2 linked regions of the Lytechinus pictus genome follow. The protein of the gene in region 1 interacts with the protein of each later gene in a biochemical or structural test. Links are inferred from orthologs where the notes say so. Each region holds a gene or a part of one and is shown on either strand. Other genes may lie near its edges.

Region 1 (6,938 bases):
TACTGAATATTCATGACGACTGTTTCCACAAAATATTGCGAAATTTAAAAATTCAAAAACTTTGTTATTTGTTATCCGATTTTGATGAAATTTTCGGCATTTTGTTCAGTAAATTCTACTCTATGTATTAAGATATAGATATTTTCAGCCCGGACCATCCCTTTAACAGTAAGTTACATCTGATAGCTGGATAGACTCAATATTTTCAGTGAAATACCTTGGGAATTCACCAGCGAACCCCGGGGGGGCCACTTACATTGACGAGTGGATACCATGCGCGACCAAAAAAACACGTAAAAAGGATGTCTTTTTCACGATAGGGCACGTTACGTACGTAACGTGATAAGGGTGTCAAAAACACAAAAATAATGAAAAAATGGTATCTATTTCGCTAGGAAAATTACGTGTTTAGGGTCGAATTTGCGGGGATGATAAAACAAAATTAAAATGTTTTATAAAGGATGTCCTTTTTGCCCCAACACTTCGTGTTTAGAGTCCGATTCGCACGAGGCGTAGAAGGTGGGGTCGTACTAAACCAAATAAGGTAAAGCCGACGACCGAAAGACCCGTAACAATAAAACATTCCTGTACTTGTTTAGGGGTTCATTTCAGTGAATATTTGCCAAGGGTATCGTTTTGTTTCCAATACTTGATAAGGGTAGGGTTTCACACGCCAATACTTGTTAAGGGGTGAATTTTCAGAATATGGAAATTATGTGTTTAGGGTGCTTTTCGAGACCCCATGGTCGCGCATGGTATCCACTCGTGAATGGACGTGCCCCCCCCCCCGGGCAGCGAACTCAACATCAATTAAGGGAATGATGTGGAAGCGGAACAGCTGAATCAGTCTTGCGATGCATAATTTTGTTTCCAATAGGGTCCTGAATAGAAAAGCACATTTTGTAGAAATGTATACCAAAAAGCACATAAAAATCGAAACATTACAATAAATCTCATTAAAATGGCAAAAATAATCAAATGGATAAAAAGAATATGCATATTCATGAAGTAGAAGAGAGAGAGAAAGAAGAGAAGATGTCAATGAGGAGGAGTGGAAAGGGAAGAAGGAGAAATGAAAAAGAAAAGGAACTTAATTCGGAGGAGGGGAAGGGGGTAAGAAAGATAAAAGACAAAATAAAAAGAAGTAGAATAAATAAACTAAGAGAGGGGAGAATAAAGAATTTCAAAAATAAAAGAAAAAGAAATAAAAGGAAAATATGGAGAAGGGAATAATAAAATAAGAAGAAGAGGAAGGAGGAGGAGAAGAAGAGGGCTGAAAGTATAAGATCAATTAGGAGGAGGAAAAGAAGAAAATTTAGAAAAAGAAGATGAAGGAAAATATCAAGGAGGGGAAGAAGAAAATAAACAGATAGTACCTAACTTGTTAGAGTAGCTATATAAGTAATCTTAAAATGTGCAAAATTTCTTATTGCTTTAATGTGATAGGGAAAGAGTTCCAGTATTTTATCGCATCATTACACACTGATAACAGTTCTTAAAAATCCTTTTTCATATCAGGATATAACCTCAGCTCATGCTTCGCGTTCCCATTACATGAGACAGGATGGGGGCCGGGGCAGTCCTCCTACGCATACATTCGTAATTCCGAAACTTCGTTATTCCGAAGGTTCGGATATTCCAAAGGTTCGTTATTCCGAAGGTTCGTATTTCCGAAGGTTCGTAATTCCGAAGGTTCGTTAGTCCAAAAACGAAATGAGGTTCGTAATTCCGAAGGTTCGTTAGTCCGAAAAAGAAATGAGGTTCGTAATTCCGAAGGTTCGTTAATCCGAAAAAGAAATGAGGTTCGTAATTCCGAAGGTTCGTAAGTCCGAAAACTAAATGATTAACTAACCATATTTCGTTTTCGGACTAACGAACCTTCGGAACAACGAACCTTATTTCGTTTTCGGATTAACGAACCTTCGGAATAACGAATCTTCGGAATAACGCCACAAATGTTCGGATTAACGAACCGGCTTTTACGTTTTCGGATTAACGAACATCGAGGTATAGGTAATTTGCGTGTTTCGGAATTACGAACCTTCGGAATAAAGAACCTTCGGAATTACGAACCTTCGGAATTACGAAGTGTAACCAGTGCGTCTTCCTATATGAACTTTACAAGTTTGTTAAAAGAGTTAAAACACGCAGCTAGTATATTTAACATATTAACAAAGAGCCATGCTTAAAAGACAAGACAGTACACGCAAACAAGAAGTTGGTTTCAATAAAAAGAGAAAATCCAACAAGCTAAACACAAAATCGGATGTAAAAATAAGAAAGTTACGATTTTTTTTAGATCATAATTTCACAAAACGATTGTTATGCACATCTTTGCCGGAATGCAATTAAGGGCGCTGATGACGTCATCATCTCGCTATTTATTTTACATTTTATACGCTATGATTTTTTTTCCTCATTGTCGAGTGAAACAAAGTTTTATTCTTCCAACACGTGTGGGCCTATACCATTATGGATCAGTATACTTGGTCATTAATGTAGGCCTATACATAATTCAAACATTTAAAAAAACAGTAGGCCTATTAGTGATTGACATCATCGACTCTTTCAGATCATTTGCATGTCACTGGGTTGTGCATAAATAACTGTTTTGTGAAGAATAAGCAAAATCAAAATTTCATAACTTTCTTATTTTACATCTGATTTTGATTAATTGTTTAGCGTTATGCATGTGTCATTTTTCTCTAAAGCTGAATCAAATCCACTTCTGCGGGTGGATTTAATTGACCTTTGATTCTATAGTGAACATTAAATCCTGATATTTATAGCACCAAAGTCAAACTATATAAGTTGTTGAAGATCGTGTGGAGTGGAGGGTGGAGGGGGCATGCAGGCCGGTAGGTAGTTGCTTTCCATGTCGACATAATAAGGTTGAAGAATGATAATGTTGAAGAATGAAATAATAATGAAGAATGTTGAAGAATGTTGAAGAAATAATGAATAATATTGAAGAATGAAAAATAAATTGAAAGGTTATTATGTCGACATGGCAAGATCTCGCCAAGTTGATGGCACTTTAAAGGCTCCCTAGTTTCGCTTGATTTCACAAAACAGTTAGGCCTATATAACCTATGCACATAAGGTTGGTATGCAAATGAGGAGAGTGATAGTCATCCACTCACTAGTTCTTTTATATTTCATCATATGAAAATTGAAATATGAAATATTCTAATTTTCTCCAATTGTCAAGTGAAACAGTGACTATTTTCTCCCTGAACATGTGTGGAGTTAGCATTGTTTAATACTATATAATTCGGTCGGCCGTCCCTGTGGTCAAATCTGTATAAAAAAATGAAATATTGTATAGTTCAAATAATAAAACACAAAAGAAATAGTGAGTGGAAGACATCATCGACTGACTCATTTTCATGTCACTGAGCTGTACGTATCACTGTTTTTTCATAAATAAGCGAAACTTTGAACAGCCATAACTTTCTTATTTCATCCGATTTTGATGAAATTTTCAGTGTTTTGCTAGTTTGATTCTTCTCTATTTATTCAAATCAACATTTTGCTGGGATCGATGGACTTGACCTTTAATAGAACAACTGTAAAGTCCATAATATGGTATTAACGTCATTGTATACAATTTTTAAACAGCCCTGCTTTGCTTGTCTCTATTTGGCGTTGTCTTGCATGAATAAGGAACGACCACGCCCATTAATATGATGCCGTCCAAACACCCCGGTCAAAAAACATGTGGACCTACGCAATCCATCACGGAAAAGAAAGATATGTAGGTATTTCACTTTCATGATGATAAAAACAAACACATTAATTAAAGTTTGGGTCATGAATTTCAGGATATAGACAGGCATGGATCATCATGATGTGAATAATAGGTTGAATTATGACTGTATAGGGGTAAATTAAATGGCCCTATATGCATTGCACTTGCCTTTTGAGTTTTTGGACGAAGCGAAAATGACGTCATCGTATTGGTATACCGGAACTCCCTTAGCAAGTTCTTTTCTTCGTCAGCTGTGTAGTACTGGGCTATGCTAACATGCGTGTGTACTACTAGCTGTCTATGGTAAATTACTAAAACTACATTGTCATCGTTGTCACGTTGATTCAGAGGACAAGTTCACAAGTTATTTCTTCCAATAAGAAAGGGACAATATTGTTGCAGTCCTGACACCTTAACAAACTCAATGTTTTTTGCAGGTAGGTAAATCGGGGCGGGTAAATAGTCCAGTCTGACTCAGTCTGACCACTTCGTGTGGCGCTGTAACTGTTAGTACCGGTATAGGCTATATCGGAACAACAGGTGGTGGCTCAAATGCACCACTAACAACGTTAATCATCTATAAGATCGAATGGGGTGTTGCAAGAAACTTGCGGTCAAGCAGTTAATTGCAAATTAGTGATTGATTGCTAATCTGCTCCTTGAAACACGAAATCTAATCTTATTTGTTATAACTGATCTATAATTGCAACAGAATATTGCGATCATGGCGATCGATAGCAAATATTTTCTTGCAACACCCCCTTCTAACAGTAGAGGCGCACGGCCAATAGGGGAGACAATCTCCCACATTGGAGACTTGCTTTGCAAAAGGACAAAAGAAACAACACCAACAAAAGCATGATGTTTCCACCCAAAATTTTGTCTCACTGAGGTCAGAAGCCCATTTGTTTTGTGTGTGATTGACAACAAAAATCCTTATCAAAACAAAAGTAGACGGTGAATTTTTAAAGTAGACAGTGAAAAGGGGCAATTTTTCATGAGGAATCTGCTTATCACATTTTTATTTGCCGCCAAGGTACCGGTAATCCTTTTTCAGCAAATGTAAACAAAGGAAATTGGACTCCAAAACTGGAGACTCTCTGAAATTGGATACCCAAATTCTTTACAAAAGTCTCTGATATTGGAGATAATCTCCCACATTGGAGACAGTCTCCAATATTGGCCGTGCGCCTCTACTGTCTAATAACGTTAATAATAGGCCTACTCTTTCAGTCATTGAACAAGGGTACCCTGTTGGTGTTCATCCTGGTTACTACTACTAGTACTACGTTCTGGTTGGCAATGTGTGGCCCATTTTTACTTACTTACTTGGATTTCCTTGGATGTAGAGATGTAACTAAAGGAAAGCTTGTAGTTGTACTTGTAGTAGCTTATTTGCCCCTCGTCACGTTGGATAGTCTCTGGTAGGGTAAAAACAATTAGTGGATGGTTTTTCCAGTGCCTCTCAATAGCTGATTTGAACATATTGACACTTAATGCAGAAACTGCTTCCTCTGGTAAAGCATTCCAGTTATTTTTACTCCTAATTGAAAATGCATTTTGCCATTTTTGCAATTTGCATCTGTTTTCCTTGATTTCATGCTGTGTGACTGTGACCTCTGGTTCTGCTATGAACATCAATTTCAAAGAAGTTGTTTAGGTCAATTTGATCAAGTCCTTTTGAAATTTTGTATATTTGGATCAGTTCAGCTCTTTGTCTTCTATGTGATAGAGTAGGTAGATTTAAAGCCTTCAGCATTCCAGGATAGTCTAGATGACGGAGATGAGGCAATTAAAATTTAGTCTGGTTACTCTCTGTTGTACTTTTTCAAGTAGATCTTCATCTCGTTTATATACAGGAGCCCATGCAGAGTTGCAATATTCCAGAGTAGGAATTTTTTTCTTGTCCCTATGCCTGTGGATATATATGCCTGATTTTTTTTGTACACTGTCAGTGTCCTGTTTACATGTACTTATACTGTGTTAGATCTAACGTTAACTCACTCATTCAATGAACAAAGTTATGATATATATTAAGCCTGAGTCGAATCGATTTTAACATCGGTGTTCGATCGATGTCATCGAACACCGGTGCAGATTTTGCAAAATCGGTGCATCGAAGAAAAAAAAATACGTCGGCCGGCCGCGGATTCGTGTGTTTCACACAATCAGTCATCAAAATATCAGTAATGTCCAACTTGATTACTACTTACTTGATTTCTATTGCCCCCAAAATGAAACCGATTGTGTAATTTATGATGCCTAGTATTCACCATTAATTTGAAGTTTATTTCGATCATAGTTCGAGTCTTACTCGTCTGCTCGTGCCGAGATAATTTATGCACGGTGAATTCATGAATGGCAGTCATGGCCATCGATTGTGCATGCGCAGTACTGTTCTTTAATCAAACCAGAAAATGGCCGGAAATTGACGCAATCAACGTAAAATAAATCTTGCTTTCATGAACAATATTAATATCATGACCACAGAACATTATTTAATCGTAATATTTAACAATAATTTGCATATGATAATCATTAATATGAATTCAGAGCTTGATGTGAAACGTTCAAGTATTTCTTTCAATTTTCAATGGCGGACATCTCATGACGATCGACTTGAGTCGAGTGAGTGCACTTGTCTAAAAAAAAGAATTATCAGGTCAGGATTGATTCTCGAACATTGTCTACATGCAAAAACTCTTTTCAAAATCGTAAAATCACCATATAATAACATTTTACATGACAAAACAGAGAAAATTGCGTTTGATATTTTTTCCCATCAATTTGAAGCTAGTTTGTGCCCAACTTTTGGCTCTGATTTCATGAATGGAAAATATGTCACACGTCATCAAATAAACACGCATGCGCATTGTGCTTCTTTTCTCGGAGCTCGGAGGAGACGTCGGGGAGGCGTCCAGAGATGGAATAACAATTGAAATATTGCCAGTATTAATTCTTCCATATGAACATAACATACTTTGCTGACATCGTCAATATTCTTAGTATGATCATAAAATCTTGTTAAATCGTAATAATTTATATGAATTTAGGGCTCGATTCGAAACATTCGTATTTATTTTGATCGCACGCTCAATTGTGTCCAAAAAAAAATGGGTTGTCAGTATCACGATTAATTCTCGAACATCGTCAGAACTCATATTCCACAATCTTTCCTCACAATCGT
Region 2 (7,006 bases), on another chromosome or scaffold:
GTGCTCGCTCAAGCATGAATAGTTTTCCAACTTTTTGGTGTCACTTGAAAGTTGACTTTATTGGCTTTCCATATCTATAAGTTATTTCCCCCAAAGTGTTATATTTTTTATTTGGCAGCCATTTCAAAAGTGTATAGTTTTTTGGGGGGACGCACTGTATATATGCCCTAAGCCACTAATCTTTCATAAATTGATGAAAAATATAGTTCTTATATGTATAATATAATATAATATAAAATAATATAATATAATATAATGTAATATAAAATAATATAATATAATATGATGTAATATAAAATAATATAATATAATATAACATAATATAATATAATATAATATAACATATATGTTATAAGATACAATGATTTCTTCTTCCCCACTGCGTTTCTCTTTCTTTCTCCTTTTTTTCCCTTTCCCCGTTTTTTTTTTTTTTTTGCTTTTTTTTTTGCCAGCCGATGGGGGGGGGGGGGCACGTGCCCCCCATGCCCCCCCCCCCGTAATTACGCCACTGTCTATATCTGTCAATAAATTATTATCTCTTGCCCTCCTATCAAGTTCTTTATACTAAGTTACAGTTTCTTTAATTATTTATTCCCCCTCCCCGTGGGTCAGGTGCCGTGGGTCCAGTCATATAATTGCTGTGCACATGTGTGACCAAAAGAAACGTGTTTAAAGGGGGTGTTTTTTCAGTTTTGGACGCGGCCACGCGTGTACTCGTTTTAAGGGTATCAAAAACACCGATTTTCAAGACAAGGGGTGGTTTTGAAAGACTGGTCAATATTATTGTCATTCGCGCATAATGGTTAGTTCAAGGAGATATCACTCTAACTATCTCCTTGGTTAGTTTCGGTCCTGTTCGCTCGTATAGCAGACGATGCTAGGCCTGCTAGTTTATACTATACGTACGCAGACCCTTTTGCAAATCAAAATCAATTCTGGACTAGATAATAATAAATATTTGCTTTCCCAAACTGTAGTTATATTATAATCAGTAGGCAAAACTTTATAGTACAAAATTAATTTGAGTTGGACTGTATTAATTGTTTCAAATCGAAAGGGTCTCTACAACGCAAAATGCCATGTTGTGTCTGCTCGATCTCAAAGTTCTGAGAAAAACGAAATGTAACCATATGATGATTATACCAATCACAAAGTATTATATACCAACATGTAGGTAATCTATCTAGCATTGAGATGACAATAAATTTCGACTTTTTTATCCTTATAATTTAGGGACATTTCAGTGGAAAAACAAAGGTGCCAGTGTCTCGAAACTATGGGTGGTTTCGGACCGTTTGTCATATAACAAGAGTTGTGAAAATGGACAATTCCAAATGAATAGCGAGACGTTAAATGGTGAATTAATAATTGTAATAATATTTACATGAAATTGATGGAAGTAAATGAAATTTTCATAATCAATATCAATTTGGTGTGATTATGGCCCGGATTTTTGAAATATTACTCTCGTGAAAACGACTGTTCCCTGATATGAAGCTTTGTGTGTGGACTCGGACTTTCGGACACTCAAATGCAGGCGACTAACCATGGGGGCCAAACATATTTAGGGTATAATATGTTTTTTTCCAAAGCTTTTTTTTAAAGACTAACCAAACGTGTTTAGAGTATGTTTTCCCCGGGGTCATAGGCCTATTCTGGCGACAACTTTTATGGGCCAAAAAAAAAACTCGTTTAGGGGGTGTTTAGAAATAATTTGGTCACTCATCACGGTGTACATTAATATTTTTAATGCGCCCCCGGGCCTCTAGCTATATAGCTCTCTCTCTTCCCTTATTTCTCCCTCCCTTTTCCTTCTTTCTTCTCAAAGGCTCGCTCTGGTCCCTTAATTATTTTCTTTCACATCTCCATTTCCCTAAGCTTCTCCTTTTCACTATCAATTTAATCTCCCTTTAGTGTGGAGGGGAGGGCGGATGGGACGAAGACCCATTCACCCCCCCCCACACTCCCATCTTCACACTAGATCGACCCTCGCAACTGATTCTTGGAACAACTCAACAACAATAACTGATAACACAGAGACAAAAGTTTTCGGTCTAGGATTTTTTATTTGTATTTTGTGTGCATGATATTTTGGCTGCAGGACAGATGATCCCCTTATCATTTTTTTTTCAACGGTGCACTTGCACGAACATCGTGAGAACTTCGCACGAATACTCGATCGGGACTCGATGGGGGTGTCGTCAGTAGCGTAGCTACGGGGGGGGGGGGCTTGGGGGCACGTACCCCCCTGATATTTGGTGTGCCCCCAGGTGCCCCCCTGAAAAAAATTGGCGGAGCCAAAAAAAAGGAGAAAGAAGAAAAGAAAAAAAAAAAAGAAGGAGAAAGACAGAAAGACAGAAAGAAAAAAGAAGAGGAAAATAAGAGGAGGAAGACGAGTGAATAAAATAATGTGAGGGGAAGACTTGCAAAAAAAAAACCAAATCTTTCATGTTACTATACAAAAATTTGGCTTGCGATTCGCGCCATATATGGAGCTTAAAATATCAAGTTTTGAAGCCTTAACAACTTCCACGCTGTCAATACACATATTAGATTAACAAATAAGAAAAAAACATTTTCATGAATTCCTAATAACTAACTTGGGTCTTTTCAGAACGGAATATCGACAAGCTTAGGAATACTAGGAAGATATTCATAATTTTCATATGATGACAAAATGTCCTTAGAATGTACCAGTCCTTTGTTGAAATAATAACAAAATACTCAGATCAAATGTTTTCAGCTTGTGCTTGCATTATTGATCTTCATGATTAAACAAATGTAATCAGAATGCCCAGATTCTAGGTCTAAATCTAATACATGCGCGATAGCCTGCATGTTCTTTATTTAAAATGTGCTTAAATTATCCAGTTTCAGATCAGAATATCAATAATTGTCCGCTCACGCTTCATGATCACATTATTAATGATACCCAATTAACCATGTATTCATGATTTACATAATATTAATAGAGTGTCCCGCGCTTTTAGATCTAAAATCTCAATTTTCTCCCTCTCGCGCTTCGCGCTCGCATCAATTGTTTAGTTACATACCTATCCCATTTATGATTACAAAAGGTGCTTAGAATGACCATTTATGAGGTCGCCTTTGTCAATTTTTTTAGCTCGCGCTACGTGCTCCCATTGTTGAAATATATACCGTCTTCGCGCTATAGGCCTACTGTAAACAGTCATAACAGGTCCCTTTTCGATCATGCTAGAACAGTTCGCGCTTGGCGTTCGCAGTAATTATCTAGTTACATACGCATCTTGTTCAGGTTCACAAATTACATTGCCCAGAACTAAATTTTCAGGACAAAATACATGAAAGTTTAACAAAAAATTACTCGCGCTTCGCGCTCGCACTTTTTATAAAGGGCTTATGAGATTATTTCATATTTATGTTGGTTTTATAAAAATAATTAAAGCTAAGAAGTGACTGATCGGGGAAAATATAGGTGAAGATAATTTTGGGCCCGTCCCCTATTGGCGAAAGTCGGATCCGCCCTAGACACATACGGTACACACACACGTACACACAAACAGAAAAAATGTTGCCCCCCCCCCCCCGGAAAAAAATCCTAGCTACGCCACTGGGTGTCGTCAACGAGAGATTCGGAGGAAAAAGTTCTCCGAATTTGTATTTTGCAATAATACTTTCGACATTTGCATCTTGGACCTACAATGTTCGCATAGACCCATGCATGAACCAGCTCTATGCATGCAAGCTGTTGAGTGTTGGAATTCCCCATTTCAGTATGACATCTAGTCTATAAACAGGAAAGTTTATGAAAAATTATAGATCTAAAGATAAATCAGCTTACTTAGGCAAATTGTAATTGTGATTCAATCAATACTATAAAAAAAGGCTTTAAATTTGACGACGAAGAAATTAGTGGAATTATTTCATAATTTACGATTGACTTATTTATTTGTGTCTTTTTTTTCCTAATAGACTTGATAAAGACTATAGGTCAACCCAGAGGGCATGTTTCGTCATATGTTATTTTCACAACAAAAGTGTTGAGCAGATATACAGATCGGTCAGAAGCGTCGAACATCTACGGAAATTAGTACGATATTGCACGAAGTAGGAAATGCAGACGTGGATTAAAAAAGTAAGCCGTTTTGTATTTTGTGAGTTCATTTGATTTGGTGAGGTTGAGGCCTGACAATGACGGTCTGAATGAGCTCAGAGTCAGAGTCAGACCTGAATTGTCAGAGTCAGACTCTGACTCTGTAATATTCCCGTTTGGTGGTTGTTCCGCTGAATTGAACTGCGTTGGCTCCACTCGACTCACAAATAAATAGTGAGCTTGGAAGATGGAGGCCCGTACTATTTAGCAGTATCCAGTAACGTTAGACATGTTAGTTCTAACATTCGGCGGAAATCCGATTTTAGGATTTTTTTTTTTTACTTTTTAGTAACATAGACCTAGGGCCTACCGGTAACATTTCAGAAATTGTTAAATAAATCCCTAGAAACGATGGTTATTCCTGTTTAAATTGAGAGTAGGGAGTTCGACTTCGATGACTTTTTGAAATCTTGAAGAATCCCAACAAATTTGATATCATTGGAAAGCTTGTGAAATAAGAAAAATAACGGTGCTTCATTTAACTCATTGTCTGATAGTGATATATTGACGGAGATATTCCAATTTACAGGGGAAAATATGCAGATTTTGTTCTGTCAAAAAAAATATTAAACTAGCTTTTTTGAGTGGGGGAGACAGTTGCTTTTTGAAATCTTGAAGGAATCCCAACAAATTTGGTACCATTGGAAAGCTTGTGAAATAAGAAAAAGAATGGTACATAAATCAACTCATGATGTCAAATATTGACAGAGATATTTCTGTTTAAACTAGCCAGGCGGCTTCTAGAGAGAAAAATCATTTACTAACGTAAGGTTACTCTCATACGAAGCCAGGGAGTCCTCCTTATTCATCTGCGTGTACCGCAAAAAACCCTGAAACTTTCGCCCCCGAGATTTCTACTTTCCTTCTAAAAGATCTAGCTCTAAATCATGTACATGGGATAAAACTTCATTTCCGACATTTCTACACTCTCGTTGTTATTTTTAAACAAGAATTCATCAAAAAAAATGAAAAAATATTGTGAAAAGACGGAAGAGACTTGCCCGATGTTTACGCCGCCATCTTGTTTCTTATTGTACTTCCCCAACATTACGCGACGCTCGCGTCCGTGCTCAGACCCTTGAACAAAATATGCAAATCAACTAACAGGCAATGCAAGCGCGAAGATTTTATACATGTATCTGTCTGTTTGTCCGTCCGTCCGTTAACTTTTCCTTGTAAACGCGATAACTTCAGTTTCACTTATTCTAGGTTCATATAATTTTGTGTGTATGATACTAGCATGGATCCCAGGAAGCCTATTGATTTTGAGGTCAAAAGGTCAAGGTCACAGTGACATATTTTCATCCAACCCTTCTGCATTCCTTGTAAACACAATAACTTCAGTCTAACTTAACCTAGGCTCATATAATTTAGTGTGTATGATGCTAGCATGAATCCCAGGAAGCCTATTGATTTTAAGGTAAAAAGGTCAAGGTCACACTGACATGTTTTCATCTTACCCTGCTGCAGTCCTTGTAAATGTGATAACTTCAGTTTAACTTAACCTAGGCTCATATAATTTTATGTGTATGATACTAGCATGGATCCCAGGAAGCCTATTGATTTTGAGGTCAAAAGGTCAAGGTCACACTGACATATTTTCATCTTGCCCTTCTGAAGTCCTTGTAAATGCGATAACTTGAGATTAACGTAACCTAGGCTCATATAATTTTGTGTGTATGATACTAGCATGGATCCCAGGAAGCCTATTGATTTTGAGGTCAAAAGGTCAAGGTCACACTGACATATTTTCATCTTGCCCTTCTGAAGTCCTTGTAAATTGCGATAACTTGAGATTAACGTAACCTAGGCTCATATAATTTTGTTTGTATGGTATTCGAGCATCGATCCCAGGAAGCCTATTGATTTTGAGGTCAAAAGGTCAAGATCACAGTGACATGTTTTCATCTTACCCTTTTGAAGTCCTTGTTACCGCGATAACTTTAGTTGAACTTAACCTAGGCTCATATAATTTAGTGTGTATGATACTAGCAATTCTATTGATTCTGAGGTCAGGAGGTCAAAGGTGAAGTCACCATCTTCCACTCTTCTTGCTTGACCAATACATGTAGCTCCATTTTCTGCATAACAGACGGGCGTATTATGTGCTCGCCTTAGCGACACTCTTGTTAGTGCATGAAATACAAATTTGGGTTTGAATCTATAAATAAAGCCCTTGAACTGCTTATTTTTTATTCTAAGGAATTCTGATCAAATGCATATAAAATTTAAAAAAAGTCAGTATAAAATGGTTTTTATGTTTTTTTTATATTATGTACAGTTTTTTTTTTTTAATGGAAATTATTGGCAATAATTTTCCATTCATTATCAAAAAGTACAAATAAAGATACAGATTCATATTGGCTTTATACATGAAATCACGTTTTTCAGCAAATCGGGGTCTGACATGCACTTGTTTAATATCATAACCGCGTACCCATGCATACACCCCTTTATGGCGTGGCCCTGTCATATTTATGGACTTATCATAGAAATTTTTAAGGGGGCCGTTAAGGTCCCCTGGGATCGTTTTACTACTTTTCTTCATCTTTGAGAGGTCCAAAGTTTCACCTGCTTTTGTGTGTACCTCAAGAGTACGATGTCAGTTCTAGATATTTGTAAAATATTAATAATTATTATGCTTACAAGTGCAACACTTCCATTTCATTCAAGTGCTACTATTACATGTAGGCCTACGTATATTTGAGCTTATTTTAATCAGTGTTTCTTTCTTTCCCTGTCCAAAAGTGAGCATAACACTCAGACACGTTTGTTAAAATGGGAATATTCTTAATATGGATTGATGTGCACAATTGAACAGGGAGGAAAGGAACATGACAAAGAGATGGAGAAAGGGAGAATCAAGGGGGA

What was found.
Region 2: the proteins of unconventional myosin-VI-like (region 1) and tax1-binding protein 1 homolog form a complex in vitro, tested with the Homo sapiens proteins (5 studies listed by BioGRID, with this or other methods). The link is inferred for Lytechinus pictus from reciprocal best matches to the Homo sapiens genes MYO6 and TAX1BP1.

The regions. Positions count from the first base shown.
Region 1 is NC_087248.1:24,456,643-24,463,580, reverse strand, and holds the start of unconventional myosin-VI-like, read left to right. Parts: upstream 1-3,919; 5' UTR 3,920-4,188; intron 4,189-6,938. UniProt on the Homo sapiens protein: Myosins are actin-based motor molecules with ATPase activity. Unconventional myosins serve in intracellular movements. Myosin 6 is a reverse-direction motor protein that moves towards the minus-end of actin filaments.
Region 2 is NC_087247.1:54,054,262-54,061,267, reverse strand, and holds the start of tax1-binding protein 1 homolog, read left to right. Parts: upstream 1-3,954; 5' UTR 3,955-4,117; intron 4,118-7,006.